Nothobranchius furzeri: one gene and its partners. The main gene of each other region encodes a partner of the protein of the gene in region 2 in a complex. Links are inferred from orthologs where the notes say so. Each region holds a gene or a part of one and is shown on either strand. Other genes may lie near its edges.

Region 1 (2,719 bases), on a different chromosome or scaffold from region 2:
TGTGTTGCTAACTTAAGTTCTTGTGTGTGAATGTTGATAATATGGCTGATTAAAATAAAGTTTAATAGAGAACAGCTACTAAACAAGAAGCACCGTTAAAATAGTGGTGCACTGATATGAAATTTTTGGGCCGATACCGATATAAAAATCAGTTATGGCCAATAACCAATATTTGCCAATACAAATAAACTGACATTAATGCTTCTAAAATCAGATTTTGTATAGAATTAAAATGATTAAAGCTGAATTTACGTTATGTACACACACCATACACATTTACGCTTCTGAGATAACAATCACTGTTCACATGACTAAACAATTACACCCGCCCCAAATGATAAATACATGGAGACAAGATGGAAAAAATATCGGTTGTCAATATCGGCCCAGTTTTATTAATCGGACCGATACAGATGTTAAAAAAAGGACTAACATCAGCCGATACCGATTTTGATGCCGATATATTGTCCATTCCTAGTTAAAATCAAACAAAAACAAAGTAAATAAAGACAGATTTTTATTCAAATGGAGCAAAATAAATGTCACTTTTCAAGCCAGAACAAATGGGAGCATTGCGTCTGTACAACTAACAGCTACTGAAGTAATAAACGTTTTTCCCTCCTGCTGCAGGTTTCGACCCTACAGAGAATGAAGTCTACACTGAAACAGCATTTAGGGAGTAACGGTCATGACACTGTTCTTACAAAAAACCTGCTGCGTGTTTAAAGAACCAGAAGTTAAACTGACAGGACGACAAAAAAAAAAAACTGCTCAGAATCTCTTTCTCTTCAGGATTTCTGGTTTCCAGTTGACCGGGTGACTTTCTTCAGTCTGAAACAAACAGAACAAAAAGGTTAATTCATCTCTTTGTTGCCTTAAAATCTGCACAGAGAAGGCTTTGGCAGCAGGAAAACAACTCACAGCCGTGTCGTCCTCTTTGTACACTTTAATGGTCTTGTCTGCCTCTGCGGTGATCAGTCGGCTCTCTGAGTGGTCGAACAGGCAGGCGAAGATTCCCGACTCGCTGTCCAGAGATCCGGGCTGCACGGCGGCATGAATTCTCTGGAAGTTGTAGCCTGTCCTCCAATCCCACATGTGCATGGTTCCATTATCAGCTAGAGGACAGAGTCATGAATTCATTATGAATCCAACCTAAAGCCTCATCAGTGTTTGGAGTGAAGGAGGTAATTATTACCTCCAGACACCAACACGCCATCAGAGTTGACAGCAAGCGTGTTAATAATGGCGTTGTGGCCTGACAGATTCTGGATGAAGTTGCCATCTGGGAACTTCCACTGCTTGATGTTATCAGCTGATCCTGATGCAAATGTGTATCTGTGGAAAGAATGAAAAAACTTGCTAAATTACAACCCTGTAGCTCAGATGTAATCCACAATCCAGTCAGGGGTGTACCTAGTGACCCCTAAACGGATCAAATACAACCCAAACTTTTCATGGATGCATTTGGTTAGGTGTTAGAACTGCTTTTATTACAGAGAAATGGTGAAAACACTGATGACTGAGTAGGCCCGTTTCTACTATCGGAAACTCTGGGTAACTTTACCGGACCTTCGTGGCATGTGCATTTCTCCTTTTCACCTGGCAGACCCAAAAGCTCCACTTCAGGGACCAAGTACCTGCACTGGGGTATGTACTCAGAAAAGACCTGGAGAGTCACTGGGAAAGACTTAAAGAGCAAGTCACCCCCAAATCAACTTGTTTTTACTGATTAACTATATAAATGAGTGTCTAATTGTGAAAACTGTCAGTGTTGCGCCCTCTGCAGGTAAAAACTCAGCACTGCATTTGAATTTAAATCTGCCATTGCTATTGGTTAAGAGGTACCCTATGACATTAGCTGGTACATTATAATGTCGCACAGTGGGGTGTGTATTTGTTAACGGCTCCGCCCTCTCGGTCAGTTTTCCTTTCAAACAGGAAGTGGGAGTGGAGTAAGACTGTGGTAGGGGGTGACTTGCTCTTTAATTCACGACTGGTTGTAACTCAGTAGGAAATGACATCGGCAGAAATTGCCCAAAACAACCTGTATTTGTTAAATTGGAAGACTTACTGGTGAAGCACAACGGAAGGAAAAGAAATTGTTGTTCCTAAACCCCCAAAGGCAAAATATTAACACCCCCCCCCCCCCCGAATGGCACTGTTTTGTGGTCTCCTGCAGGATGATGTTAAAAACTGTTTCCACTCTCCCCCTCACTGTTTGCTATCTTTATCGAACCACTAGCGGCAGCAATTAGGCAAACAACAGATATTAAAGGGATAAAGTGTAAGAAAATAGAACATAAGATCAGTCTTTATGCAGATGATGTTTTACTCTTTCTCCGGAATTCTCAATCCTCTCTCTCCCAAGCAATAGAACTGATAAACTCTTTTTTAAGAGTTTCCTCTATAAACTGGTTAAAATCCACAGTTCTACCAATTAATTTCTCTTTTGTCAATTTACTTAATACACAATTGGAGTAAGGGAATATCACATACCTGGGAATTAATATCTCTCCCAAGTTAGCAGATCTAACCAAACTAAACTACATCCCACTTTTAAAGAAAGTGGAAGATGATCTTGCAAGATGGAAATCCTTACCAATATAACTCATGGGGAGAGTTGCTACAATTAAAATGATGGTCTTACCCAGAATAAATTACTTATTCTCGATGATCACAAACAAACCACCAGCTGACTGGTTTAAATCTCTGGACTCCT
Region 2 (4,276 bases):
ATATATTATACTTTTTAAATACAGAGGTCACACAAACTTGCATCCAGTTGATGTAAATTGCTGATAATGACAGATTGTGTTTGCACCAGAGGTTTTTTTTTTAGCTGGAAGACTTAACATTCAACATCCTAGAGACTTTGTTTTTCTATAAACAAAATATTCTGTCATTTTAAATAAATAAACATTTAGATTTGTGCATTTAAATGTTAATAGTTTGATTGATAGACTTGTATCTTGTACTTACTCATCTGATTTAATGCTTGTTGCTCTCTTAATTGGGCCACTGTAGTGTGTTCAGATTAGAGAATGCAGCTCCATCCCATGTAAGGTAACGCTGAGCTCATTTTAGTCTGCATCTCAAGATGCAAGAGTCTAGGGTGAGTGTGCTTGGTAAAGGTATAGAACCGTGCAGTCTGGAAACCAATCCCACTCATTCACCTCTCCCAGCAACACACAGCCTGCCATTATCTACAGCAAGTGATTTCCACAGGTAGATCTGTAACCTTTGGAACAAGGTGGGTGGGTTGAGCACCCATAGGCGTCTGTCTGTCTCTTGCCAGAAAGCCAATCTCTTAGTGTCTCGTTGCTGCCACATATACCCGTTTCTCTCCTTTACACACACACACACACACACACACACACACACACACACACACACACACACACACACACACACACACACACACACACCTTTGCTGTGTTAAACAGCGAAACAAAGGCTTACCTGTTTGGGCTGCAGACTACGGAGAGGTCTGCTTCCTCAGTCTTATTTATTTCCTCTTTACTTTGTGAGGAGAGAGTTTTTGATATAGGGCTGCATGGTACAAATGGTACTGCTTCCCCACAACAAGAAGGTTGCAAGGTTGCCTTTCTTCAAAGTGCATTCTGGCCATGCATACACTGGTTTTCACTGGATACAACAAGAACATTTAGGTTCCATTGTGTCTCTAAATATAAATACATATTTGTTTGTCCCTGTTTGTCTCCATGTGGCCCTGTGCTAGACTGGTGACCCATCCAAGGACTCACCTCTTGACTGATGAGTGCTAGAGTTGGGCATCAGCTTCATGACGTATGAAGAATAAGCAATGACGAAAAAAGAGGGGCTTACCTTTTACACGCTTGTTCTATGCACTGGTTGTGTTGGAACTGTATTGAAGAACTACTATAGATGATGATGATGATGATAGATAGATAGATAGATAGATAGATAGATAGATAGATAGATAGATAGATAGATAGATAGATAGATAGATAGATAGATAGATAGATAGATAGATAGATAGATAGATAGATAGATAGATAGATAGATAGATAGATAGATAGATAGATAGATAGATAGATAGATAGATAGATAGATAGAATTTAGGAAAAAAGTAACTAAGAAAATAATAGTTTCAAGATTTTTACATTTATGGATGATTTTTTTTCCATTACACTTACCGAGCAGAATCTCCGTAACCCGGAAGTTATAGCGAACTGTTTAGAGCGCGTTGAGAATGACCCGGAAGTGTTTTCGTCCACGAGAAGAAGGCAGAAGCGTTGCTCATAAGAATTAGACGGTGGAAACGAGAGAAAAACAGCTTTAAACAGTTTTTATAAACCACCAATCATGTAAGTGTCGTTGATGATGAGATAGCCATTTCGGAAAGTGTCATTTTTTGAGATAGAGTATCAGCTACGAGTCGCAGCGTCTTTTCTCGAATGCTAACATGTTTAGCCTTTTCACTGATGAATGCTAGTTAGCTCACGTTGTGTTGCTTTCTAAACGTGCTATCGCTTTTCATATTTTACTCACCATTAACCTAATATGTACAGGGTAATTACTGCAATAAAATATATGTAGTAGTTACGTTGGTGATCGTTAATGATGCTACGATTGTTTAAATTTTATGTTTGCCAATTGCGAAATATTAGCAGCACGATTAAGGAGACCGGTGTTGAGTCAAATTGTGTTCCCCGTAGATAACAGTTTGACCAACTTTCTAAAATGTGCGTTTGGAGAATGAAATTGTCAGGATATTAGCCTAGTAACGAAGTCGGCTTTATGTTTTTGAAGCATATGAGCTTATTTTAATTCAGAACATCATTGTTAGCGACGTTCTGTCTCAAGGATGTTCCACATGTTTTTTTTAATCAATCTTCTAAGAAATCCATTGCTTGATACAAAAGAGTAAAGGAAGGTTATGAAGAAACTCAGAGAAACAGTTAATTGTTAATGCAAAACTTGTCATTCTAATCTCTTCAATTTTTTTTAACTTCTGATTGCTAACCAGTAAATTAAACGTGTATGTCTGATATTGTTGAATATTTGGCTATTGCTAAAAGTAGCTTGGTGTAAATTTTTTAAAATAAGTTATTAGTTTTGTTAAATGCCTATGGGAACTTCCCCACTCTTCTACTGAGAGATTTAAATTTTAATCTCGGTTAAAGTCAGGTTTCTTGAATTGCATTTAGTTAGGGTGCCTTGTTTTCATTTATTATCTTGTAATCATGTAAGTTTTAAAAGCAAACCGCTAAAAGGACTTGTGACCGTTATCTGTGCAGAAGCAAATGATCTAGTATCGTGTCTGCTTTTGTGTAGGAGTCTGTTGACGAAGCCCAAATCAGAGATGACACCAGAAGAACTCCAGAAGCGGGAGGAGGAGGAGTTCAACACCGGCCCCCTGTCGGTGCTCACCCAGTCAGTGAAAAACAACACTCAAGTCCTCATCAACTGCCGCAACAATAAGAAGCTGCTTGGAAGAGTTAAAGCTTTTGACAGGTATTGAAAGAATTTTCATCTAAAAAAAAACATTCAGAGTTCTGCATCTATGCGAGAAAATTTTACATTTAGCTTTTTATGTTTATTTATTTGCAGACGCTTTTATCCATAGCGACGTACAATTTTTTACTTGTAGGGCATGTTGTGATCTGTAGGGGAAACCGGAGTACCTGGAGGAAACCCATGCATGCATGGGGAGAACACTCAACTCCACGCAGAAAGGCCACAGCCGAGTTTCGAACCTGCAACCTTCTTGCTGCGAGGCAACAGTGCTAACAACTGCGCCACCATGCATTTATGCATTTGGATGGCAGAGTCAAAAAACTTAAAATCACATTTAGGTATGGCTGCCACAAAAGACAATTTTAATAGTAGACTAATCACCAGTTTTGTTGACGATTAGTCAACTAATCATGTCATCATGCATAAAAGTATAGCTTATTGCACCAGGGTGCCCTAATATACCCGATGATAGCTTATCAAACAGCTTTTAGTTAACTTTGTAACCCAGGGGTGCCGGAATCCTGGTCCTGCATGTTTTAGTTTGAACTCCGCTTCAACACACCTGATTTCAATCAGCAGCTAATTAACTGGCTTCTGCAGAGCCTGATGAGCTGCTGCACAGGTGTTTCAACCACTGAATCATGTCTGTTGGAGCAGAAAAAACACAAAACCTGCTGGATACCTGCCCTCCAGGACCAGGATTGGGCACCCCTGTAGTAACCTGTTAATACAAATGCTAAACAGTCAAATGGAGGTAGGCACCTAAAACTAGGGCTGTAGCGAAGCCTCGACGAAGTCGACGGCTCGATTCTAAAAATTTGTCGACGTCAGATCCGGAAGTTGACGCACCGCGCCCACTTGTTGCATCCCCAGGAGTTTGTAAATAGAGGAGGAATCTGCCTGTTTTTCCTCTAGTTTGCCCTCTTCTCCGCCTTCACTAACATCTCCGCCAAATACCGAAGACCCGGAACAATGTCCGTCCACTACTAGATTATTTTCCTGTTTTTCCCCTTCGTCTCCCGGCAACGGACAACAACTTCCGGGGTCAGATGCGCTGCTTCATGTCTATCGCAGATGTAGAAAATCACCGGGAGCGCTTCTCCCTTCATAAAGGAGCTTCTTTCAGACATGAGGAGAGCTGTTTTGGTGGTAGCAGTCTCTCCTCCCTGCTGGTCTGTTTGCTGCCGGGTGTTTTTGGTTTATTTAAACTTGGTAACTTGAACTTTTGGTAAAGCTACTGTTAGCATCTTCGCTAACAGCTTCTTGCATTGGGATAAGCTGTTACGTTTTGGTTTAGAGTTCATCTTTTTTGTGGTGTAGATCTCCCTTTTATTACATTTAGAGTGTTGTGGGTTTTCGGTTTAGTGTAAAATATTACCTGAGTTTGGTTTAACCCGTAAGACCACTCGCCTCACGCACATAAGTGACCAAAACAAAGCAGCATGGAGACACTCCATCTTCTACCACCTCTCAGGCAGCAGCCTGCACTCCCAAGTTCTACACGTCACC
Region 3 (3,500 bases), on a different chromosome or scaffold from region 2:
GATATTCATAAGTGACAACTAATGAAAACTCCACATTTGGTATCTCAAAAAATTAGAATATTCTGAAAAGGCTGAATATAGAAGACACCTGCTGCCACTCTAATCAGCTGATTTACTCAAAACACCTGCAAAGGCCTTTAAAAGGTCCCTCAGTCTTGTTTTGAAGGCACCACAATCATGGGGAAGACTTCTGACTTAACAGCTGTCCAAAAGACAATCATTGACACCTTGCACAAGGAGGGCAAGACACAAAAGGTGATTGCTAAAGAAGCTGGCTGTTCGCAGAGCTCTGTGTCCAAGCACATTAACAGACAGGCGAAGGGACGGAAAAAATGTGGTAGAAAAAAGTGTACAAGCTCTAGGGATAACCGCACCCTGCAGAGAATTGTGACGACAAACCCATTCAAAAATGTGGGGGAGATCCACAAAGAGTGGACTGCAGCTGGAGTCAGCGCTTCAAGAACCACCACGAGGAGACTCATGAAAGACATGGGATTCAGGTGTCGCATTCCGTGTGTCAAGCCACTCTTGAACAAGAAACAGCGCAAGAAGCGTCTCGCCTGGGCCAAGGACAAAAAGGACTGGACTGATGCTGAGTGGTCCAAAGTTATGTTTTCTGATGAAAGCAAGTTCTGCATTTCCTTTGGAAATCAAGGACCCAGAGTCTGGAGGAAGAGCGGAGAAGCACAGAATCCACGTTGCATGAGGTCCAGTGTAAAGTTTCCACCGTCAGTGATGGTGTGGGGTGCCATGTCATCTGCCGGTGTTGGCCCACTCTGTTTCCTGAGGTCCAGGGTCAATGCAGCCGTCTACCAGGAAGTTTTAGAGCACTTCATGCTTCCTGCTGCTGACCAACTTTATGGGGATGCAGACTTCACCTTTCAACAGGACTTGGCACCTGCACACAGTGCCAAAACCACCAGCACCTGGTTCAAGGACCATGGTATCCCTGTCCTTGATTGGCCAGCAAACTCGCCTGACCATAACCCCATAGAAAATCTAGGGGGTATTGTGAAGCGGAGGATGCAATACGCTAGACCCAACAATGCAGAGGAGCTGAAGACGACTATCAGAGCAACCTGGGCTCTCATAACACCTGAGCAGTGCCACAGACTGATCGAGTCCATGCCACGCCGCATTACTGCAGTTATTGAGGCAAAAGGAGCCCCGACTAAGTATTGAGTGCTATACATGCACATTCTTTTCATGTTCATTCTTTTCAGTTGGCCAACATTAGAGAAACAAACATTTTTTCATTGGCCTTTAGAATATTCTAATTTTCTGAGATACCAGATTTGATGTTTTCATTGGTTGTCACCTATAAATATCAAATTTAAATGTAATGAACATTGGAAATACATTGGTCTGTGTGCATTGCATGAATATAATGTACAAGTTTCACGTTTTGAATGGAATTACTGAAATATTTTCAACCTTTTGATGATATTCTAATTTACTGGCCAGCACCTGTAGGCTCTTTAAATGTAAAAACCAAAGTTCTTTCAGATTCGATCGACCAGCACCGAGAAGTTCTGGGTCTGAGGGCTTTCAGTTGTTACCCATGGGGGCGATGGACAGCAGGTGGTCGTTCAGCTCGCCCCTCTCTGTGGCAAGCTGCAGCGCCCCCTCCAGGTCTCCAGTCCAAAGGCGCAGGTACACCACCGAGTCGTAGTGACCTGCCTCGATGTGGGCGTCCTCTGAGGAGCAGGAAGTGGAGTTCAGACGCATGAAAAACGTTCCTGTTAGTAAAAGCAGGAGGAAGAACCGACCTTCTGCCTGGAACATGCGGTACAGCGCCGGTCGGTCGTGGAACAGGCCCAGATGGAGGTGGTCCCCCTGACCCGGGACACAGCCTGCAGGAGGGGCTGGAACACACACACACACACACACACACCTCCTGCCTTCAGTAAAAGCATCACCATGACCACGAGCAGCGAGCACCACCCGGCTACAGACCTGCACCCCCCGGGTGTCTGACGGAGGCCAGTGTGAGGACGTCCTGCAGCAGCTCCTCTCTGGGCCGGTGGTCCATGGAGGTGCTGAGGGGCAGCATGGAGCGGGCCTTCTTCTTCTTCAGAACCAGGAGATCTGGAGAAACCAAGAGCTGCTGATCAGGACCAGAACCAGTCTACTGGGCCGGAACCCAGCTGGGACCTCAGTTCAGACAAAAACCTGGTTTTTCTTTACTTTTCGCAGCAGGAATTGAGTTTTTTTGCGTCTCAAAATTTGCTGAAAGAGAAAAAAATTCTTTTATTTTTCCACAGAATTTTTTAAAATATCATTTTTAAACTAAAGTTTAAATGAAATTCTTTTTCCACTGAAACCAGAACCGACTTGTTTCTACCTGTGGTCACCTCCTGGTTCTGTGTGGATCGGACCTCCTCCTCGTCCTCAGACAGCTCCTTCTCAGTCGTCATGGTTACTCCTACAACAGAATCTCCGTTCATGTTCGGCGCCGTGGCTCCTCCGGACCCGTTCTTGCTCTTTTTCTTCTGCTGTTTGGAACGGGCCCGCTTCTCCTGCATCATGACCTTCTTCTTTCCTGAGATGACACCACAGACAGTTCTGGCTTGGTCTGTTGGATCTGAACCAGAACCCAAATCCGGGTGTACCTTTGGGGGGTTTGGTGAATTCCTGTTTGGAGACCTTCCACTCGTGCACGGTGAAGTCCCTCCCTCCGGTCCAGATCCCATCTGGGTCAACGGGTGACCAGTCGACACACAGCAGGTAGCCGTTGTGACCGCGGTAGTTGGAGATGGCAGCCTCCTCCAGAACATCCCACACCTGCAGGAACCAGAACCAAACAGAACTTTTACAAGCTTAGAGCAGAAAGCCGTTCCAAGCGGGAACGTCTCCGTGCAGCTTTTCCAGCTGCTGACCTGGGCGGTGCCGTCGTAGGAGACCGTGACCAGCCGGCCGCTGTGATGCGGACTCCACGACATCCCCGTGATTTTAGCCGTGTGGCCGGATAACCGACGATAGGACTCGGTCAGAACCGCCGGCTCCTCTGGAGGATTCTCTATGGAAAAACGGATCAGAACGTTAACATCCAGCGTGTCTGATTCTGTTTCTACTGCACACTCCATGTTCGCTTCCCTCTTTATTATTATGTTCATGTTCATGTATTTAGCAGACGCTTTGGTCCAAAGCGGCTTACAAGTGATAATCGGCATGTTGCCCTTGAGCAGTGGTCTGCAAATGGCGGCCCGCGGGCCACGTCCGGCCCGCAAGCCCTCTCTTTGTGGCTCCGCCCACCCCCACCCCCGACCGGGAGGTTTAGGACAGAGCTGAGGAAAATAATCAAATAATCAATGCATGAGATGCGGGCATAAACGGTTTTGCATCACAGAAGAGTGCCATAATCAATTATAGTGGAATGTAGTTGTGTTATTTTAACGGCGGTGGTGCTGAGCGCTGGAGTTATAACCTGAGACCAAACCCGAATCGAATCAGCCCGACCGGTTCTGTTGGATTTGGGCCGTAAATTATGTTAGTTGAGC
Region 4 (4,110 bases), on a different chromosome or scaffold from region 2:
ATCCCGATGGCCGTCTGCACCCCCTGCATCTGCAGCTCAGCCTGTCTCACCTGCTCCTGGCTGCAGCAGTCCTGCAGGAAGACCGAGGCCAGGTTGCGCAGACGGGGGCTCTCTGCGAGTGAGAAGCGCAGCATGCACTGAACGATCCCTGGCTCTGTGATCTGAGAGCAGGTCGCTGGTGTGGTGAGGTTCATCAGGGTGGTGACGGCAGACAGCACCGTCTCCTCCCTCCGGTTTGACAGGTGGTTTGTGATCAAGCTGATCCCATCGTTCTCCAAGATGATGTCTCTGCATCCAGGGTCCATACTGAGGTTACACAGACCCCCTGTCAACACAATATTTGAGTTTAGATGATTTTTACATAAACAAACATGATTTACTGTTTTAGTTGGAGAGATGCTCACCCATCCCAAACTCCACAAAGTTCTCATTCTCTTCGGTCAACATGTCCAGGAACAGGTCAGGAACCTGCAGCTCCCTCAGGTACTCCATGTTCTTTGGGTCATATGCAAAGTTGGCTAGATTTGCCAGAACCTGCTCCTTTGCCTCTGATAAAGAGAAAAAGTAATGAAACAAACAGAGATACCTACATCCACTAATTCACCTTACACCAGCTCATTACAAACAATGATAAACAGAGGCTGCAGCACAGAAACAGTACACATTTATACCACAGGGGGCGCTTTTTACTTTCACATCAAAACACCCTTCAGGCTCAAATGTGGAGCTGACAGTATAAAAATAAGATTTGTCTGTAAACTAGAAAGGCGAGGCAGCTTTATTTGTGTAGCACATTTCATACACTGAAGCTATTCAATGTACTTTCCAGGTGCATGACCAGCATGATCATAAAAGATTAAAATCAACGTGACGACGTAAAACAGCAGCTTTTAAATTCAAATTTTAAATACTCTAATAAAATTAAATGTAAGAAATAAAATAAAAGACAAAGTTAAAGACTGAGCGCAGAAGGTACAGCATGAGAAATAATCCTTCAAAGGCTGATGAATGCATGAAAGTCTTCCATTTTGACTTAAAAGTTACTAGAGTTGGGGCACATTTCAGGTCATAAAGAAGCTGATTCCATCTGTGAGCAGCATAGTAGCTAAAAGCAGCTTCACCCTGTTTGGTTCTGACCCGAGGTTCTACCAGCTGACTGTTTCCTAAGGATCTCAGAGCCCTGCTGGGTGTATATATACAGGAAGGAGATCCAACATGTATTTTGGCCTCATTTATAAACTAGCAGTAGCACTTAGTAATCGTTTCTATAGTTTAATGGCAGCCAGTGTAGATATTTACAACTGGATGGATGGATGTGGAACTAGCGCATTATTTAATTCATCACATTATCTGGCTACTTATTTTTAACACCGTTTTTTTAAAAATAAAAACAAGCAGCTTTCTGCGGTAAAATCCAACAGAAAATGTTTACTTATGGCAGTAATCTCAAAGTGAACTAACATGTAGAATGAACAATCAGAATTTGGTTAAATAACGTCACTTTTTGGTTTCCAAATACTAAGCTTACATTTATTTCATGTCACAACGATACACTTTCAGAATAAAACTTAAAACGCTGCTTAGAATTACAGCTTATTTGATGTATTTGTTCACTTCTACCTGATTTAGTCATGTTTACAGATTCTTTTTCGAAAAATTTTAACTTCATGAAGTCATTTGCATGTATTTGTGATCTTTTTGTCTTCTGAACACAATTCTAATGCTGATAGTCAGCCTTTCTCCTATTGCAATGGATAAAAACTGGTCTAACATATATACAAATGTTCTTTTGACGATTTTTTTTCTCTCACTTCAAATAAATATACTGATGGAGAGTACAGTTTTCGACTGAACAACGGCTTCTGAAAAAGCCCTCTAACGATATAAATAATAGTGATGTGTCAGTCCGAACGAACCGGCTCTAAGAGTCGGCTCTTTGAAGTGAACAACGGGAGCCGGCTCATCATTGGGAGCCGTCCCCTCCCCTCCCCCCTCCCCTCTTGCTTTGGTGAACGCTACAGGCGATTGGTCAACATGTGTAACTGTGTGACCAGACTGTCCACACACAGAGCAGTAGGGACGGGGAAGAGGGAGAATCAGACTCAGACACACAGCAGAGCACATGCAGGTGGAGGTAGACGAGAGGGAATGAGGAGGAAAAAGGTGAGCGAGATAGAGAGGAGAGTGTGATGAAGACGGTGAGAAAATGAGCGCCAGCAGTCGGAAAGTGACAATTTCTTAAAGTGTTCAGTTATTAAATCCATAGAAATTATAAATATTTGATATATTGCATTTTTTTTTACATTAGTAAATAATTTTACATATAGTTTTGCATTATTTTGGTTATAAATGTACTCTACGAAACAGAAAATCTGAGGAGCCATTTGGGAGCCGAAAGAGCCGGCTCTTTCTGGTGAGCTGAGCCATTCCCATCACTAATAAATAATAGCATGCATCTAAACTGAGGGTGTTGAGAGTCTACGTGTTCGTTTTAAAACGGTTTTTATTTTAACTTTGTAGAACACAGATCAAAGGTTATTCCTACCTTCACTGTCAGTGTCCTGAAATTCAGTAACCAGCGTCTGTAAATATTCAAACCGTTCAGGCGCTTCAGCTGACTCATTTCTCTTCATCTTTTAGCAAAAACACATTTAACACTTCAAATAAAATTCACACAGATATCAGATTATGCTGATGTTTAAGTTACTTGACCGTTCATAGCTGATTCAGAGGTTGTTTTCATTTCACGTATGGGTCCGCGGCTCATAAGTGTTCGGAAAAACTGCGCAAGTAGATATTTGTTCCGCTGTTTTATCAAAACTTGTTTGTCCGTGAAGATGTGTTCCCCGTTCACTTTCGCATGATTTAAAGAGTAACGCATTTTTAGCTACACGAAATCGTAACATCGTTGCTATAAACTCGCCTATAACGTTATAAATGCTAGCATTGCTGTCACAATTGTGCAATGAAATACGCGAGAGCTACGCGAGCCGATGAGGAAACACATTTTAAATGGTGTACAGAGATTGATACAACACCGGCAGCTGAGCGGAAGTTAAGGAGCAGAAGGTGTGTTTGTGTTTATGTGCTCGTACAACAGCACATAACGCACGTTGCGGGAGGTCAGCTTAACAAAAACGCTATGTCGCTTTGTTTATTTAAGTAAAACAGCAACAATGAATCACCACCGGCTGTCCGCGAGAAAGCGCCTCGCCAAACCCATTTTGTTCGGAACTCTGCTGGTTGGACTCGCCACTATTTTCATTAACAGGTGAAACTGAGCTTTGCTAACTGCGTAAAAGAAACACACGCACAACACATTTCACTGTAACACCGGTGTGACGGTGAAACTGTCATTGGAGACTGAAGCAAAAATATTAAATACTATGAGTTAGCAGCAAATCGTAAACATATTTGCTTGTCGTTTATGCAGACACAGGTTCCTTGAAGACGTGGTTGAGCTCAAGGCCCAGGAGCGAGAACGCAACTATGCCAGGATGATGGAAGTCCTGGAGAGGAGGGAGAAACAGAAAGAGCTGGTGGAGAAGAAGAAGCAGCAACAGACAGGAAGTGACTGAACATATGAACTTTTTGCAGACGACTGATGCTTTACAGGCCATCAGACATTACAGTCATCCAGTAAATCAGTAAATTATAAGACTGGATGGAAGTTCAGCTGAGCAGGAACCACGCTTTTAAATTTTGACACTCGTGTTGGTCAAGCGGGAGCAGAATTAACCACCATCTACATAAATAGCCTTATTTTTAACTCGAATCATCTTTAATTTGTCTTGTTTTTTTTATCTTTGTGATTACTGTCTGTGATGGGTGTTATATAAATAAAATGTACTTACTATCTGGGAAAAACAGACTAAACCCCTAAGCCAAACAGAAACAGTGGGAGAAAAATATTACTGGATAAACGATTTTTTTTTTTATCAGGGTTGAATTAAAACCAAAGTATCAGGACTTGTATTTTGTCATTAAGGTGTATCAAGTCTGAGATATAAATTTTAACTTCATAATGGAGAGGTTAGAGAAGATTTTGAAGTTTTAATCTCAGTTCAGCTCAAATTAATATGCTAAAGTTTAAACTCCCATTACAAACAA
Region 5 (3,797 bases), on a different chromosome or scaffold from region 2:
ACATTGTGATAAAAATACTCCTGCTCGAAAAGAACCTGGTGCCTTCGACATGTGACGAATATGTTAAAAGATGATCGTTTAATATAAAATAACTAGCTTTGGGCAATGATTTACGTCATTCCACGAACCTCTACGTTAGCCCGGCAAGCCATCCTATAGGCTACCATCTACCAGGTCACTTTTCCTACACCGCCATCTAGCGGTGACTTTGGTCCCCGGTGTAATGTAAAACAACGTTCCCCCACCTACATGTGCAGTTTTACCAATTATCACAACTGATGTGAGAAACTGCACCTAAAAGTTGACTAAATAAACAGTTTTGCTTTATTTTGTCAACTGTAGTGGGATAAAGGTCTGATGACTAAATAATAATTTCATAAAATACATTTTTATTTTAGAGCCTGGCCTGCCAGACTCATCTGTGTAACTTTATACACAAGGAAGCGTGGGGCTGGCTAGTACACCAGTAGCATTGGGATCTGATTGGGACAACACAGTAGTTAATGATGCTAGTTTATGTGCTGACACTTTATTCAGTATTAAAAACCAACACAAAGAAGTCAGAGTAATTTGTCCTCTTAACCAGAAGTTTAATGTACAAAAAAAAAAGTCCAACTAAAAAGCACACAGAAATTCACAAAACGTTTCTGCTTTAATGAAGCAAAGGAAAAAAAAAATCCTGTACAAACAGTGAAGTGTTAGGAATCAACAGAACAGCCTTGCGATCATCTCCTTGGTCCACCTCGTCCCCGTCCCCTTCCTCTCCCACGTCCCCGTCCCCTGCCTCGTCCCCGTCCAGCCACTGAGGAGACAGATGAGCAGCATCAGCACAAGTGTCACAAACACCATATTGCTCATTTAGCATCTGGTCCTTTAAACCACTCCTTAAATTATGTCGTACAGTTAATGTTACAATTTAGTTCTTTTAATATAAACCCATGCAGAAACCTGTGCAAACACACCAGTTACATCACTGTGAAAACCTTTTTGTTCACGCAAAGGAGAATTCAGATTCACTTTCTAAAAAAAACACCTTAAGATAAAATTCAACTCAACATATCTTATGCATTTTCACCTTTCTCACCTGCTTCTCTCTTCTTGGACTTGATCTTTGGCTCGATGTCAACCAGCAAGGTGTCCAGAGGGAGGCTGTCTGGGAGGATGAAGTAGCGAATATTGTTGCCGCGGATACTCAGCGACTCCAGCTGAGTGGGCTCCCTGTTTTTTAGGGTCATTTTTACCGCCTTCAGGTGAGTGTTCATGCTCACATCAACACCTGAAAAACAGAGAGGAGGGATGAAACACCAGCCATAAGTACATCTGGCACTTGAGTTTAGGATTAATTTTACAGATTAGAAAATATTTTAATTTGCAGGTTGTGTGTGTGCTTGTCTAGGGTTTGTTAAACATAAAAAAATCCCATCAAATAGGATTAAATAATACAAAAACATACATTGTGCAGATTTATCTGTACTAAAGTCTGACTATGAGGATGAAAGCACAGCTGTGGGTATTAATCTACTTAATGCATACAAATATATGTCATTAGTATTGAAATTAAAGAGCTTCAGCTGACTCCTGGCTTATCTGACCACCTTTATGAGCTCACCTGTGATGGTGCCGTGAACCTGGGTGCCATTTTTCAGCTCAATGGTTACGGTTTCATGGCTGAGCTTCATCAAAAACCTGTGGGCATCATTGCACACGATGACTGAGTGAAAACATCACAACGTAATTGGGACATTTCTCGCAGAGGCTAGATAGTAGCTTAGCTTTAGCTATCTAGTTAGCCACCGATGGCTATTAGGTGACTTTTAAAGCGTTTGAAACAATAAAAACACTGATTATCCACCAGTTTAACAGCTAAACTAAATATTTACAAAATGAACTCTAACAAATTATGTTAAAACCCCATTTTGAGCCGCTTTAGTTGATTGACAAGCTAATGCTACAACGGTTGAATGAGTTAACGTCTAGCCTAATATTTTTACTTATTGAAATAGAAATGTACTTAAAGTAGACGTTCATCTATGTTGATAATTAAAACTGTGCGTAGGAACGTGTTTTAAACCCTCAGCGGTCGCCGTAACGTCGCTCAGGATCCATTACATTTTTCCACTTCCCGCCTCATCACCGTTTAATCAAATCCCAATCCATCCGGCCACATCACTTTCATTTGATCAGTTTACGTTAATTCTCCGGTTAATCCGGGACCTCCCGCTGCCGCCTACCTGACTAGTTTCATGATGATGGAAAACAGTAGAGAAAAATCCTCCACCGAAGACAAAAATTACAGCGATCGAGTGAAAACACAGGCCGCTGTTGTATTCGAAACGTTCAGGGATGTGACGTCACTAAAAGGCGACAACAAAGACGAGGGGGTGTAATTACCGCCATCTACTGGTGGAATTGTGATCCGTTCTAACACTTTTGTTTTATTTTTCTGTGCAACATGTTTTACAGTAGTGTTAAAATCCACAATCTTTATTTTACTACTAATTTATTGGAATCTGGCAGTTAAAAGGTCAAATATCCAAAACAAAGATCCCTAAATGATCAATATTTAGGAAGATCACTACCGTTACCTACTGCTGGATTCGTGATCTGCAGAATTTGCAACCAAAAGGTCAAAACGGTGTTTATGTGCAACATGTGTTAAAGTCGTAGTAAAATTTACATTTTTACTGATTTATCAAAATCTGGAAGATGAAAAAAGGTAAAATATCCACAACAATTAACCCTAACTGATCAAGACCTAATTCATTCAACAGATCAGGAGACAACTTCAGAGAACTTGTCGCAGTTGAATAAAACCACAAAGCAGCACTTTCAGCTCATTTTATTAAGAGTAAACTCTGCACCGATACTTAAGAGATTTGGCCACACATCAAATCTGTCTTCTTGAGACCTGCTGGGAATGTATCAAGTATAATCAATGAGAGTGCTTTTTTTTATTCCAAAGATGTAGGCTGAGACCAATAAATCATAAAGTGTGAAGCACAAAAAGAAAAACGGCACAAGGCCATTAAACTCAGCATTATTCCACTTCTAATAATAATAAAAATAAATAAAACCGTCATCCTCTCTGTGTGTTGCCTGCACATGATTGACGCAACACGTTATTAATATTCTGGAGCAGAAAAAGTCTCGACTCAGTGCATCTGCTGTTGAACTCTAGAAAAGAAAATCTAATTATGCAGTGGTTTAAAACAGAAGTCATGAAATATTACAGCAGGTGAGCACGTGTTCCTGGAAATCTTTCATGTGGAAACAGATAATGTCCTTTTGGGGTTTCTCTCCACCTTAACCATAGCAACTGAGTAATCGATCTTCAGATCAGCAGTCGTGTTTTATTCTCCTGTAAACGTTACAGCGGGGCTCAAACAGGAAGTCACACGTCCAACAAAATAAAATCAAAGGTCAGCTGGACGTGAACATTCAGATAAAGGGGTTAAACGTCGGGCCGCTGCGCCATGAAATGTTTTAGGCTTTTAAACTTTGATTTAGCGTGTTTAAAAAACAATGTTAACAAATAGAAACTAAAGAAGGCACACACACCAAAAGAAGATCCTCACTATAATAAGGAAGTGATGATAAATGATTTATTTCTAAAGCAGCTAATAAATACGAGTCAAACGATGCTGTAGTGTGAACGCCGATATGCTAAAAGCGTATAAACCTAAAGTGACTGAAAATGAAGGTAAACAGCTCAGAGATGATAAAATGAATTTCGTCGACTTGTGGGCTGCACGGTGGCGCAGCTGTTAGCACTGTTGCCTCGCAGCAAGAAGGTTGCA
Region 6 (4,240 bases), on a different chromosome or scaffold from region 2:
ACACACACACACACACCTTATTGGATTTCACCCATGTACAGACGTTTATCACTGGAGCCAGACAGCACTGCAAAGACACAGAAAAGAATAAATGAGTGACTTTTTCTTGTGTTTGGTTCCGGTTCCTGTTCTGTCGCTCACCTATGGGCTCCTCTGGGTGAAACACCACCTCGTTAACAGAACCGGCGTGGCCCGGCAGCTTGTAGAGGATCCTGCGAGACGTGGTGTCCCAGATGTACACAAATCTGTAGCAGACGCACAGAGCGGGGAACAAAAGTGGCTCTCAGTGCCTTATCTTTACTCCGTTTGGGTTTAAAAAGTCACCAAAGCGTTTCTCACCGATCGGCTGATCCTGCGGCTACTTTACTGCCATCAGTGGACCAGGAGCACCTCAGCAAGTTCTGAATAAACAGGAAAAGAGGACATGAGAAGAACACAGACCCGGAGCTTTCACAGCTAAAAAGCGGTTTTCTTTAGTCCAGATATGTACGACTTCTCAGATTGACCTAGAAGTGAATTGTTCATTTGTCTGCTAGTGAAGATTACCTTTTCAAAGTTGTGAACATTACCCTGGAAAATCTTCACGCACCTCTCCTTGGGTGCAAACGGCCGCACGTCCCAAATTCGCACTGCAAAGACACGCGAGACTCTTTGAGGGATGCGATTCAAGCACAGATGAGCAGGATCAGAAGCCGAGCATACCAGTGTTGTCCATGGAGTTCGACAGAAGGTATGACCCCTCGGAGCTCAGGCTGAGCCCGGTTACAGAGTCCCCGTGTCCATGCATGTTGTAGATCAGCTTGTTCTGTCGCAGATCCCACACCTGAGCAACACAAAGCTTTCAGATCAACGACCAGGAGAGAATTTTAGGCTGGAGCCGATTTGTTGCCTTCGACATTTCACATTTTTGCAACAATCAACAAAAAATAAACTTGCGTTTGGAGTTGAAGCAAACAAAAATGTAAACAACCAAGGGCTGACAATAAATCTCACTGAACATCTTCAGTCAATCAACTTTAAAATGGCTGAAACAGAGCATCACTGCAACCATCTGCTGTTGTTAAAGGGATTAAAATGTTTAGTCTGACTTTCTTCAAGATAAACAGTTTAATGAGTCCCTTTAAGAAAAACTGTTTTTTTAACCTTGATGTCGTTGTCGATGCCTCCAGACAGGATCTGATCACTGGTGTCGTTAAACGTCACGGCCAGAACCTGGTAGGTGTTCTGAAAGGTGTGGATGGCTCCTTTTTTGCGGATGTCCCACAGCTAGAAAACAAAAAACATCAGGCTAAACAAAACGTGCAACAATGTAGGTGTGTGTGAACGGTGTGTGTTGGACCTCATTTTCACAGCAAAACACCCAGAAAACAGCCTGACCTTGATCGTCCCGTCGTCGCTTCCTGTACAGACCAGCTGAGGACCTCGGCGAGCTGGATAGCAGGTGTTAACAAAGGAGGTGTGTCCCTTCAGACGTTTGACCCTCTCACCTGTCTCGCTGTCCCACACGCCAACAGTCTTGTCCGTGCTGGCTGAAAACAACAAGCTGAACCACACAGACACCTCTGTATCACACTTCTGACTCAAGTTCCGCAATAATCCACCAGATATTAGTTGATCATATTCCACCGTCTCTACCTGCCATCTGTGTTATAATGCAGCTCCATCACCGCTCCGCTGTGACCCTTCAGGGTGGCGTAATTCTCACAGTCTCCATACACGTTCCACAACACTGCAGCATGGTAACAGAGATTTTAAAGCGGTTTTAACAAACATATGTCTGCTACTGTTTGACACAAACTTACATATGAGTCTGTCGAATCCTGAAGAGGCCAACACAGCTCCATTGGGGTGAAACTTGCAGCAGTAGACCTCCCCCTCATGGCCAGACATCAACATGATGGGAGCCTGCATGCTGGAGGTGCGTGGATGGCCCTATGGGGATCAGTGATTTAGGTTTGCAGCATTATGGTGCAGAAACAACAAGTGGTACTTTACTTTAAATGCATACGAGCTGGATGACTTGCTGAGATCTAGCAAAGAGAGTGAAGTAAATGCTCCCTTTAATCATGTAGGAGCTGGAAGTAGATCCTAATTGCACCAGTGGCAATTACAATCTGGTGTTTCCTTAAGCTTGCATTATGATAAAAGGTGATATCTGTGTATATATATTTTACCTTTGATGCACAAGTGAACTCTGATCATCTTGACAGTTTATTTATTTATTATATATGCTTTGTTATTTGAATCAAATATTAAAAAGGAAGGCTGTTTTAATAATAAATATTGTTACCAATAAAATACATAATTACAATAACCAACACGCTCTTGAAAATAGTTTTTTTGCATATTGAATTCTATTGTCAACTATTCTGATGTTTACATTAATCATGAAAACGTGACTAAATCTGCTTACATGGTCCGGTTAATGAATACATAAGTCCCCGGCTAGCATAGCTTGCCCTTTTCTCAAACTTAAAAACATAACTACTATAAAGGTGGTAAGTATGATTTAATCTTGAATGTAAACGCAGTCGGATGTCACCAGGGCTACGTTACCGTGGCCACGAGCTGCTGAGACTGAGCCGCCGCTACTAGCTCCATCCGTGGCCGCTTCAGCGCAGTGGGAACCATCGCCATGTCTCCGGGTCTCTTTAGAGGTTCAATCATTGCGGGGAAAGTTAACAAAAAGCGGCTAAATAGAGTAAATGCAAAGCTAAAACTTAGTAAAATTAACGGACGTCTTCGACGAAAGACGTCTGAGGAAACAAAACCACCAAAGAAGACAGACACTGAAGTACTTCCGGGTTCAAAGCTCGTGATTGGTGGAAATTTGCGCAGGCTGCAGTGATTGGCTGATTTTCTTCCTGGCGTCAATTTGACCTGGAAGTATAACTAGCACAGTTTAGTCGGTGGAAAAGGTATTGCAATTATTTTTATTTCTTAAGAGTTAGAGTCACATTACGCAAAATATATTAATTATAGCACAATTGTCTGGTTTACTAATGTATCATAGAGCAGTTTAACAGGAATAGGTTAGAGGGTTTTATGTAAACACCAATGCTCGTGTTGCGTTTATCCTGTTCATGTTTCCAGAGATATTGTCTCCTATAGTTTTTACTCCGCTCGAATTAATGTAATGGAAAGTGAAGTTTGAGGTAAGATAAATCCATGTTTTGAAAATTAAAACTGATTTACAATATTAATAATTCTATTTGTTCGTTTTTGAGATTAGCCTAGTTTCTTTAAATCTGACAGCTGCAATTTTTGTCTGTGTTCTTTGTTTTTATTTATTTTTTTGTGTTTGGTTCTCAGTCTGTTTCACATGTATGGAGTGTTAGAAAATATGCAGTTACCGTTTAAATAAAATTTAGACCATGGCTGGTCTTTTTAGTCTAGTTTTAATATTATTAAACTGGGTTATTTGAGCTTAATTCTTAATGAAAACGAAGAAAAAACATTTTAATTGAAGGATAACTTCAACTGAACTTGATTTATTGCCTACTCCTGACTTGTGAAAACATAATAGTTGTCGTAGAAAGTAGTTTTATGGATTTTTATTTAATAATTTTTATTCACAATATAAATACTTAAATTTATTCTGTTACTTTGTAAAAGGAACAATATTGCTTTTATTTTGGGTTTCTTTAACTTTTCCTCGTCTTTCGTCTTTTATCTGTGTTGTGTTATTGAATTGAAATATATTTAATCCTCCAACTGTTTGCCCAGATTGAGACGATGTCCAACCGTGACCGCTCGAGTCGAGAACCAGCCGGGCTGGATGGTCTGCCTCCGATGTACAGCATCGCCAAGGGAGAGGTGGTTTCAGTGCAAACATATGGAGCTTTTGTTCGACTGCCTGGTTACAGGAAGGAAGGTTGGTAGAAGGCTGAGAGCTTGTAATCTTTAAAAATGAAATACCAGTATTAGTAATATTAACCAGCTGAGTGAAGTGAGTCCTTTAAAGCAGTAATGGATCTGTAAAAAGAAAAATAGGAGATATTAGATGACTACAGCTAACTTTATATTTTTTATTTAAAAAAAACGTTTTCATTTAATACCATATATTATAATTTTAGTAGCAGATGCAGCACTGGGAAGCATCAACGGCTAAAATAGGAAGAAGTTTGTCCCAAACTTTTTATACTTCATTATCTCTGATGATAAATTCTAATTTTAGTGGTTGCCCTAAAATATTTTGCCACTAGATGGAAAAAAGATAAAAGGTTTGGGTTCTAATTTG
Region 7 (4,106 bases), on a different chromosome or scaffold from region 2:
AGAGTTATGTGAAATCTTACTTGTGATTTTACTATAAAACATAATAATAATCAACTTCTCCTTCATGTTTGCTCGGAGGTGTATAGAGCATCCTGTCCGCTCATTGGTCAGTGAATGAAACCTCCGTTGATTGGTCCTCGTCTGAGCGACAGCGATGAAAAGTTGAAAATGTTTCAACTTTCTGGGATCGCGTCGCTGGGTCGTCCGTGCACGACACGTGCACGAGTGCAAAATTTCACACGCACGTTTTTCGCGTTTCGCTTAGTAGGAGAGAGACCCCCGATTATCGCTTTGTCGCGCATGTCTCATTGAAAATGAATGGAGGAGAGGTGATGTCGCCTCCCGTGTGTTGAGCCCTTAACACTCATGCCTGATGATTTTCCTGTTGTGCCTCACTCATGTGTCTTTCTTCCTCTGTCCTCTCTCTTTTCTCCTCTTTTTCTGTCTCTCTTCCTCACAGCACTCCTGTCTTCTCTTCTGTCTGTACTAACAAAAATGTTGTCAATCTGTGGGACAGTGGGGGCGAGTGAGACTGCTGCACACACACAAAAAAAAAGACTGCTGCTTGCGTGGGCCCCCTTGTGGCTGTGGGCCCCTGGGCCTGTGCCCAGTTTGCCCATATTATAATCCGGCCTTGCCAAAAGCGCATCACGCACAGTGTGTGGGGTTTATGAAAAAAGCCAGATTATATTAATTATAGCATTAGCTACTGAACAACAAGCACACAAACAACACTTAAGTAATTAACTGGCGTTATTTCCCATCTGTATAATTTAAGCCGATGTGCTTTTTTCCGCTCTGGTTTGTGAGATGGGCAGCAGTTGTTGTTTTTTCCCTTGTCAGTGGCTCTATTCCCTTTTCCGTACAGAGTAGAAATAAATAAATAAAATGTAGGGCACAAAAAGTCTGGATCTCTTTGCTCTGTGTTTCTTCCAACAACTTCCGTTAATGGTACCCCTTCAATCCACACCTTTAGGGTTTGTCCGACTTACTTTGGTTGAGCTTGAGGCTGTCCTCTTAACCAAAACGGGATCGTCATATTTCAAGAGAGAATCGTCTAATTCAATCATCCTGACGCCTTTATGTACAGAAATAGCTGTTTATGTTGTCATGGTAACGTTCGGGCGTTTGCCGGAAAACAGAAAAAAAAAGATCTAAGCGCAATTTAAAAAAGAAAAATAGCTCAAATCCACTTGGAGTTGAATTTACGGCTTCATAAAAATATCTGTAGTTTTCATGATTTAATCCGTGTTATCTTTAAACGGAACGGAAGTCATCATAGCGGAACGTTTAGTTGAAAGCACATATACCACGTCGGAAGAAATTGTCAGCGCGCCAAACGGAAACGGAACGCAACTTTAGCAACCGTTTGGTGGGTTTTGCGTTTGTTTGCTTCTGTGGCTAACTATGCTTGCGTAGCCACAAAAAGTTGACGGATTTTGTTCAAAAATGGCCAAAGAGAAGCGACACAAGAGAAGAGATTCTCCCACGCGAGAGCCGGAAGTGAAAGTAAAACAGGAGAAATTGAGTCCGAGTAGGCCGCAGAAATCACGCCGCTCGAGGTCGAGATCCACAGACAACTCCAGTCCACAGAGGAGAAGAACCAGCAGGTAAACACGCGTTTGTCGCCCTTTGAGCACCACCAAGGTGATAATATTCAGATCTGATGTTCTTTATTTTCTAATAACTGAATTTAAATGTGACTTAAGTTGACACATCTTCAAAGGAAATGCTTTTTAGAAAAAAAAAGTTCAGATAATTTACGTTATTTCTTTATATCACAGTAAGTAGATTGTTATTAACACGTGTATTTACAACTATATCACGTTCAGCTTCAAGTGCCTATAGTACGTCAGTTAGATTATTAACCAAGCTCCTGTCTTACTCGAATGAGTACAAATCAAGAAACAATCAAAAGCATCTAAATATATAGTTTATATAGCTACATTTATTTAAATTTCTTATAATGTGTAGTAATATTCTAAAATCCAATGGCAATTAGCTAAAACATGCGTTTTAGCTAATCAAAACTTTATTAATTGGTATCAAAAACTAACATCTTAGATCCTCTACACACATTTTGGATATTTAATGCAAAGTCAAAGTATTGATTAATCTTGTTTAATTCCCACACCTGATCTCTTACAATCTCTAACACTGAAAGATGACTTTATTACTATTTTAGTTTGTAAATGCTGCCTAACTGATACGAGTGGCTTAAGAGTGTTTTCTCTTTTGTGCTCCTCACACAGGTCACCCGTGAGGACAAGAGACCGCTCACCAGGCAGAAGGGAGACCTCTCCTGTTAGACGAAACAGCAGATCTCCCAGAAACAAGAGAAATCACAGCCCTCATTGTAGCAGTGACTCTAGAATAAAGAGGGTGATTATAAAATTCTAAACTGAAACTGACTTGTCTCAACTTGTAGTCATGAAGGTTTTGTGTTTTTGTTTTAGGAGCGTGATGAGCATAGATCTAGCGGCGATGAGCGGAGGAGGAGGAACGAGCAGCCAGATGAAAGACGAAGCAGGTGGGAACATAACAGGTCCGGGGACCGGGATGGAGAGAGGCATCGTGAGCGAAACTCCCAAGTGACTCAGCAAGCTGAGCGGCGGCAGCACGATGAGCGGCGTAGGGAAAATCGGCGGCGGCGTGAAGAAAATCAAGAACAGGAGTTTGGACAAGCTGAGGGAGACGGCAGCGACTCGGGGGCACCGCCTGCTGATAAAGAGAAGCCCAACTTTGAATTGTCAGGGGCTCTCACAGAGGACACCAACACGTTCCGTGGGGTGGTGATCAAGTACAACGAGCCACAGGAAGCTCGAATTCCAAAGCGCAGGTGGCGATTGTACCCTTTCAAGAATGATGAACCCCTTCCTGTCATGTACATTCACAGACAGAGTGCCTATTTGTTGGGGCGGCAAAGAAAGATCGCTGATATCCCCATCGACCACCCATCCTGCTCCAAGCAACATGCAGTATTCCAATACAGGTATGTTGTATGTAAATGTTTTCACTGTGTGATTAATTAGATTTGTGGGGAAAATATACAACTAAGGATTCTGTTTATTCTGCAGGTTAGTGGAGTACACTCGAAAAGACGGCACCACTGGCCGCAGGGTAAGGCCTTATATCATCGACCTCGCTTCTGGCAACGGTACCTACCTGAACAACCAGCGGATCGAGTCTCAGCGCTACTACGAGCTCAAAGAAAAAGACGTTCTCAAGTTTGGCTTTAGCAGCCGCGAATACGTCCTATTGCACGAATTCTCCGACACGAGCGAAGTTGATGCAAAGCAGGAAGAAGAAGAAGACGAGGGTCTTGAGTAAATTACTCCCAATGTGTTTGTGCCTAAATTCATTTATGATGGATAAGACCAATGAGAATGTTAGAAAGTGGAGCGATGTATCTTGTGCGTGGGAATTCACACCACGTGGTTGGATTGTTATGTATATTGTGTAAATATTGAACTCTTGCTTAAACCTGCCACACCTGTCTCCAAGTAGACCTCCTTTCTCAGGATTAATGCATGGCTGATCTCATGTGTTATGTCAGGGTACATCATTGGAAAACCAACCTTATGTTTAGGAAAGCATTTCTTATTGACTTAATGAACATAAATACACAGAATATAATAATTGTATTTTTATTTTTTGCTTTTTTTTGTAGTGGAGGGGAAATACTTGATGCTATGTGTTTCTGCATCATTTATACAAAAACTTCCCTGTTTGATTTTGTCAGTTCAGGTGTATTGATAGTAAGAGTTCATTTTTCTACTGTAAATTAAAATATAGATTATTAAAAAAAATCTCTGTGATTGTTATTAAAGAGCAAGTAACGCCTAAATTAACTATTTTTTTTTGTGCTGATAACTTGCACAGATGAGTGTCTAATGGGGCTGTACACACGTGTAATCATTAATGTGGCAGTTTAGTAGCCTGGCAAGCCAGACTAAATAAATGTATTATTTACTTTGCAAAGCAAGAATTTGGTCTAGTTCACTAGGTTAGCAGTTTAGTGCGTCTTACTTAAAATTTGATACTTCAGCCCAAAACCATAATTATATCTCCATCTTTTGGTTAAAACCTCTGCTCCACATTTATGT

The links.
Region 1: snrpd2 (region 2) and plrg1 share a complex: the UniProt entries of both Homo sapiens proteins name them as parts of the minor spliceosome. The link is inferred for Nothobranchius furzeri from reciprocal best matches to the Homo sapiens genes SNRPD2 and PLRG1.
Region 3: snrpd2 (region 2) and gemin5 share a complex: the UniProt entries of both Homo sapiens proteins name them as parts of the SMN-Sm complex. The link is inferred for Nothobranchius furzeri from reciprocal best matches to the Homo sapiens genes SNRPD2 and GEMIN5.
Region 4: snrpd2 (region 2) and armc7 share a complex: the UniProt entries of both Homo sapiens proteins name them as parts of the minor spliceosome. The link is inferred for Nothobranchius furzeri from reciprocal best matches to the Homo sapiens genes SNRPD2 and ARMC7.
Region 5: snrpd2 (region 2) and snrpd1 share a complex: the UniProt entries of both Homo sapiens proteins name them as parts of the SMN-Sm complex. The link is inferred for Nothobranchius furzeri from reciprocal best matches to the Homo sapiens genes SNRPD2 and SNRPD1.
Region 6: snrpd2 (region 2) and snrnp40 share a complex: the UniProt entries of both Homo sapiens proteins name them as parts of the U4/U6-U5 tri-snRNP complex. The link is inferred for Nothobranchius furzeri from reciprocal best matches to the Homo sapiens genes SNRPD2 and SNRNP40.
Region 7: snrpd2 (region 2) and snip1 share a complex: the UniProt entries of both Homo sapiens proteins name them as parts of the minor spliceosome. The link is inferred for Nothobranchius furzeri from reciprocal best matches to the Homo sapiens genes SNRPD2 and SNIP1.

What each region holds. Positions count from the first base shown.
Region 1 is NC_091744.1:17,224,387-17,227,105, forward strand, and holds the end of plrg1 (pleiotropic regulator 1), read right to left. Parts: intron 1,336-2,719; coding exon 1,196-1,335; intron 1,116-1,195; coding exon 922-1,115; intron 832-921; coding exon 772-831; 3' UTR 501-771; downstream 1-500. UniProt on the Homo sapiens protein: Involved in pre-mRNA splicing as component of the spliceosome. Component of the PRP19-CDC5L complex that forms an integral part of the spliceosome and is required for activating pre-mRNA splicing.
Region 2 is NC_091753.1:27,245,598-27,249,873, forward strand, and holds the start of snrpd2 (small nuclear ribonucleoprotein Sm D2), read left to right. Parts: upstream 1-1,476; 5' UTR 1,477-1,612; coding exon 1,613-1,614; intron 1,615-2,584; coding exon 2,585-2,764; intron 2,765-4,276. UniProt on the Homo sapiens protein: Plays a role in pre-mRNA splicing as a core component of the spliceosomal U1, U2, U4 and U5 small nuclear ribonucleoproteins (snRNPs), the building blocks of the spliceosome.
Region 3 is NC_091750.1:72,365,791-72,369,290, reverse strand, and holds part of gemin5 (gem-associated protein 5), read right to left. Parts: intron 3,020-3,500; coding exon 2,880-3,019; intron 2,785-2,879; coding exon 2,613-2,784; intron 2,543-2,612; coding exon 2,345-2,542; intron 2,230-2,344; coding exon 2,173-2,229; intron 2,089-2,172; coding exon 1,957-2,088; intron 1,866-1,956; coding exon 1,770-1,865; intron 1,698-1,769; coding exon 1,560-1,697; intron 1-1,559. UniProt on the Homo sapiens protein: The SMN complex catalyzes the assembly of small nuclear ribonucleoproteins (snRNPs), the building blocks of the spliceosome, and thereby plays an important role in the splicing of cellular pre-mRNAs.
Region 4 is NC_091756.1:50,515,128-50,519,237, reverse strand, and holds the start of armc7 (armadillo repeat-containing protein 7), read right to left. Parts: upstream 2,801-4,110; 5' UTR 2,768-2,800; coding exon 2,708-2,767; intron 2,634-2,707; coding exon 2,546-2,633; intron 549-2,545; coding exon 405-548; intron 326-404; coding exon 1-325. UniProt on the Homo sapiens protein: As a component of the minor spliceosome, involved in the splicing of U12-type introns in pre-mRNAs.
Region 5 is NC_091759.1:18,894,640-18,898,436, forward strand, and holds snrpd1 (small nuclear ribonucleoprotein Sm D1), read right to left. Parts: upstream 2,370-3,797; 5' UTR 2,246-2,369; coding exon 2,232-2,245; intron 1,687-2,231; coding exon 1,610-1,686; intron 1,277-1,609; coding exon 1,076-1,276; intron 803-1,075; coding exon 726-802; 3' UTR 501-725; downstream 1-500. Other genes in the region: gamma-glutamylcyclotransferase, read right to left, coding at 1-4. UniProt on the Homo sapiens protein: Plays a role in pre-mRNA splicing as a core component of the spliceosomal U1, U2, U4 and U5 small nuclear ribonucleoproteins (snRNPs), the building blocks of the spliceosome.
Region 6 is NC_091759.1:20,973,028-20,977,267, reverse strand, and holds the start of snrnp40 (U5 small nuclear ribonucleoprotein 40 kDa protein), read right to left. Parts: upstream 2,801-4,240; 5' UTR 2,668-2,800; coding exon 2,557-2,667; intron 1,933-2,556; coding exon 1,803-1,932; intron 1,730-1,802; coding exon 1,636-1,729; intron 1,544-1,635; coding exon 1,378-1,543; intron 1,267-1,377; coding exon 1,144-1,266; intron 824-1,143; coding exon 703-823; intron 630-702; coding exon 547-629; intron 402-546; coding exon 340-401; intron 246-339; coding exon 142-245; intron 68-141; coding exon 18-67; 3' UTR 1-17. Other genes in the region: zcchc17 (zinc finger CCHC domain-containing protein 17), read left to right, coding at 3,736-3,874. UniProt on the Homo sapiens protein: Required for pre-mRNA splicing as component of the activated spliceosome. Component of the U5 small nuclear ribonucleoprotein (snRNP) complex and the U4/U6-U5 tri-snRNP complex, building blocks of the spliceosome.
Region 7 is NC_091745.1:70,706,837-70,710,942, forward strand, and holds snip1 (smad nuclear-interacting protein 1), read left to right. Parts: upstream 1-1,306; 5' UTR 1,307-1,449; coding exon 1,450-1,610; intron 1,611-2,252; coding exon 2,253-2,382; intron 2,383-2,456; coding exon 2,457-2,992; intron 2,993-3,077; coding exon 3,078-3,330; 3' UTR 3,331-3,809; downstream 3,810-4,106. Other genes in the region: dnali1 (axonemal dynein light intermediate polypeptide 1), read right to left, coding at 993-1,070. UniProt on the Homo sapiens protein: Required for pre-mRNA splicing as component of the spliceosome. As a component of the minor spliceosome, involved in the splicing of U12-type introns in pre-mRNAs. Down-regulates NF-kappa-B signaling by competing with RELA for CREBBP/EP300 binding.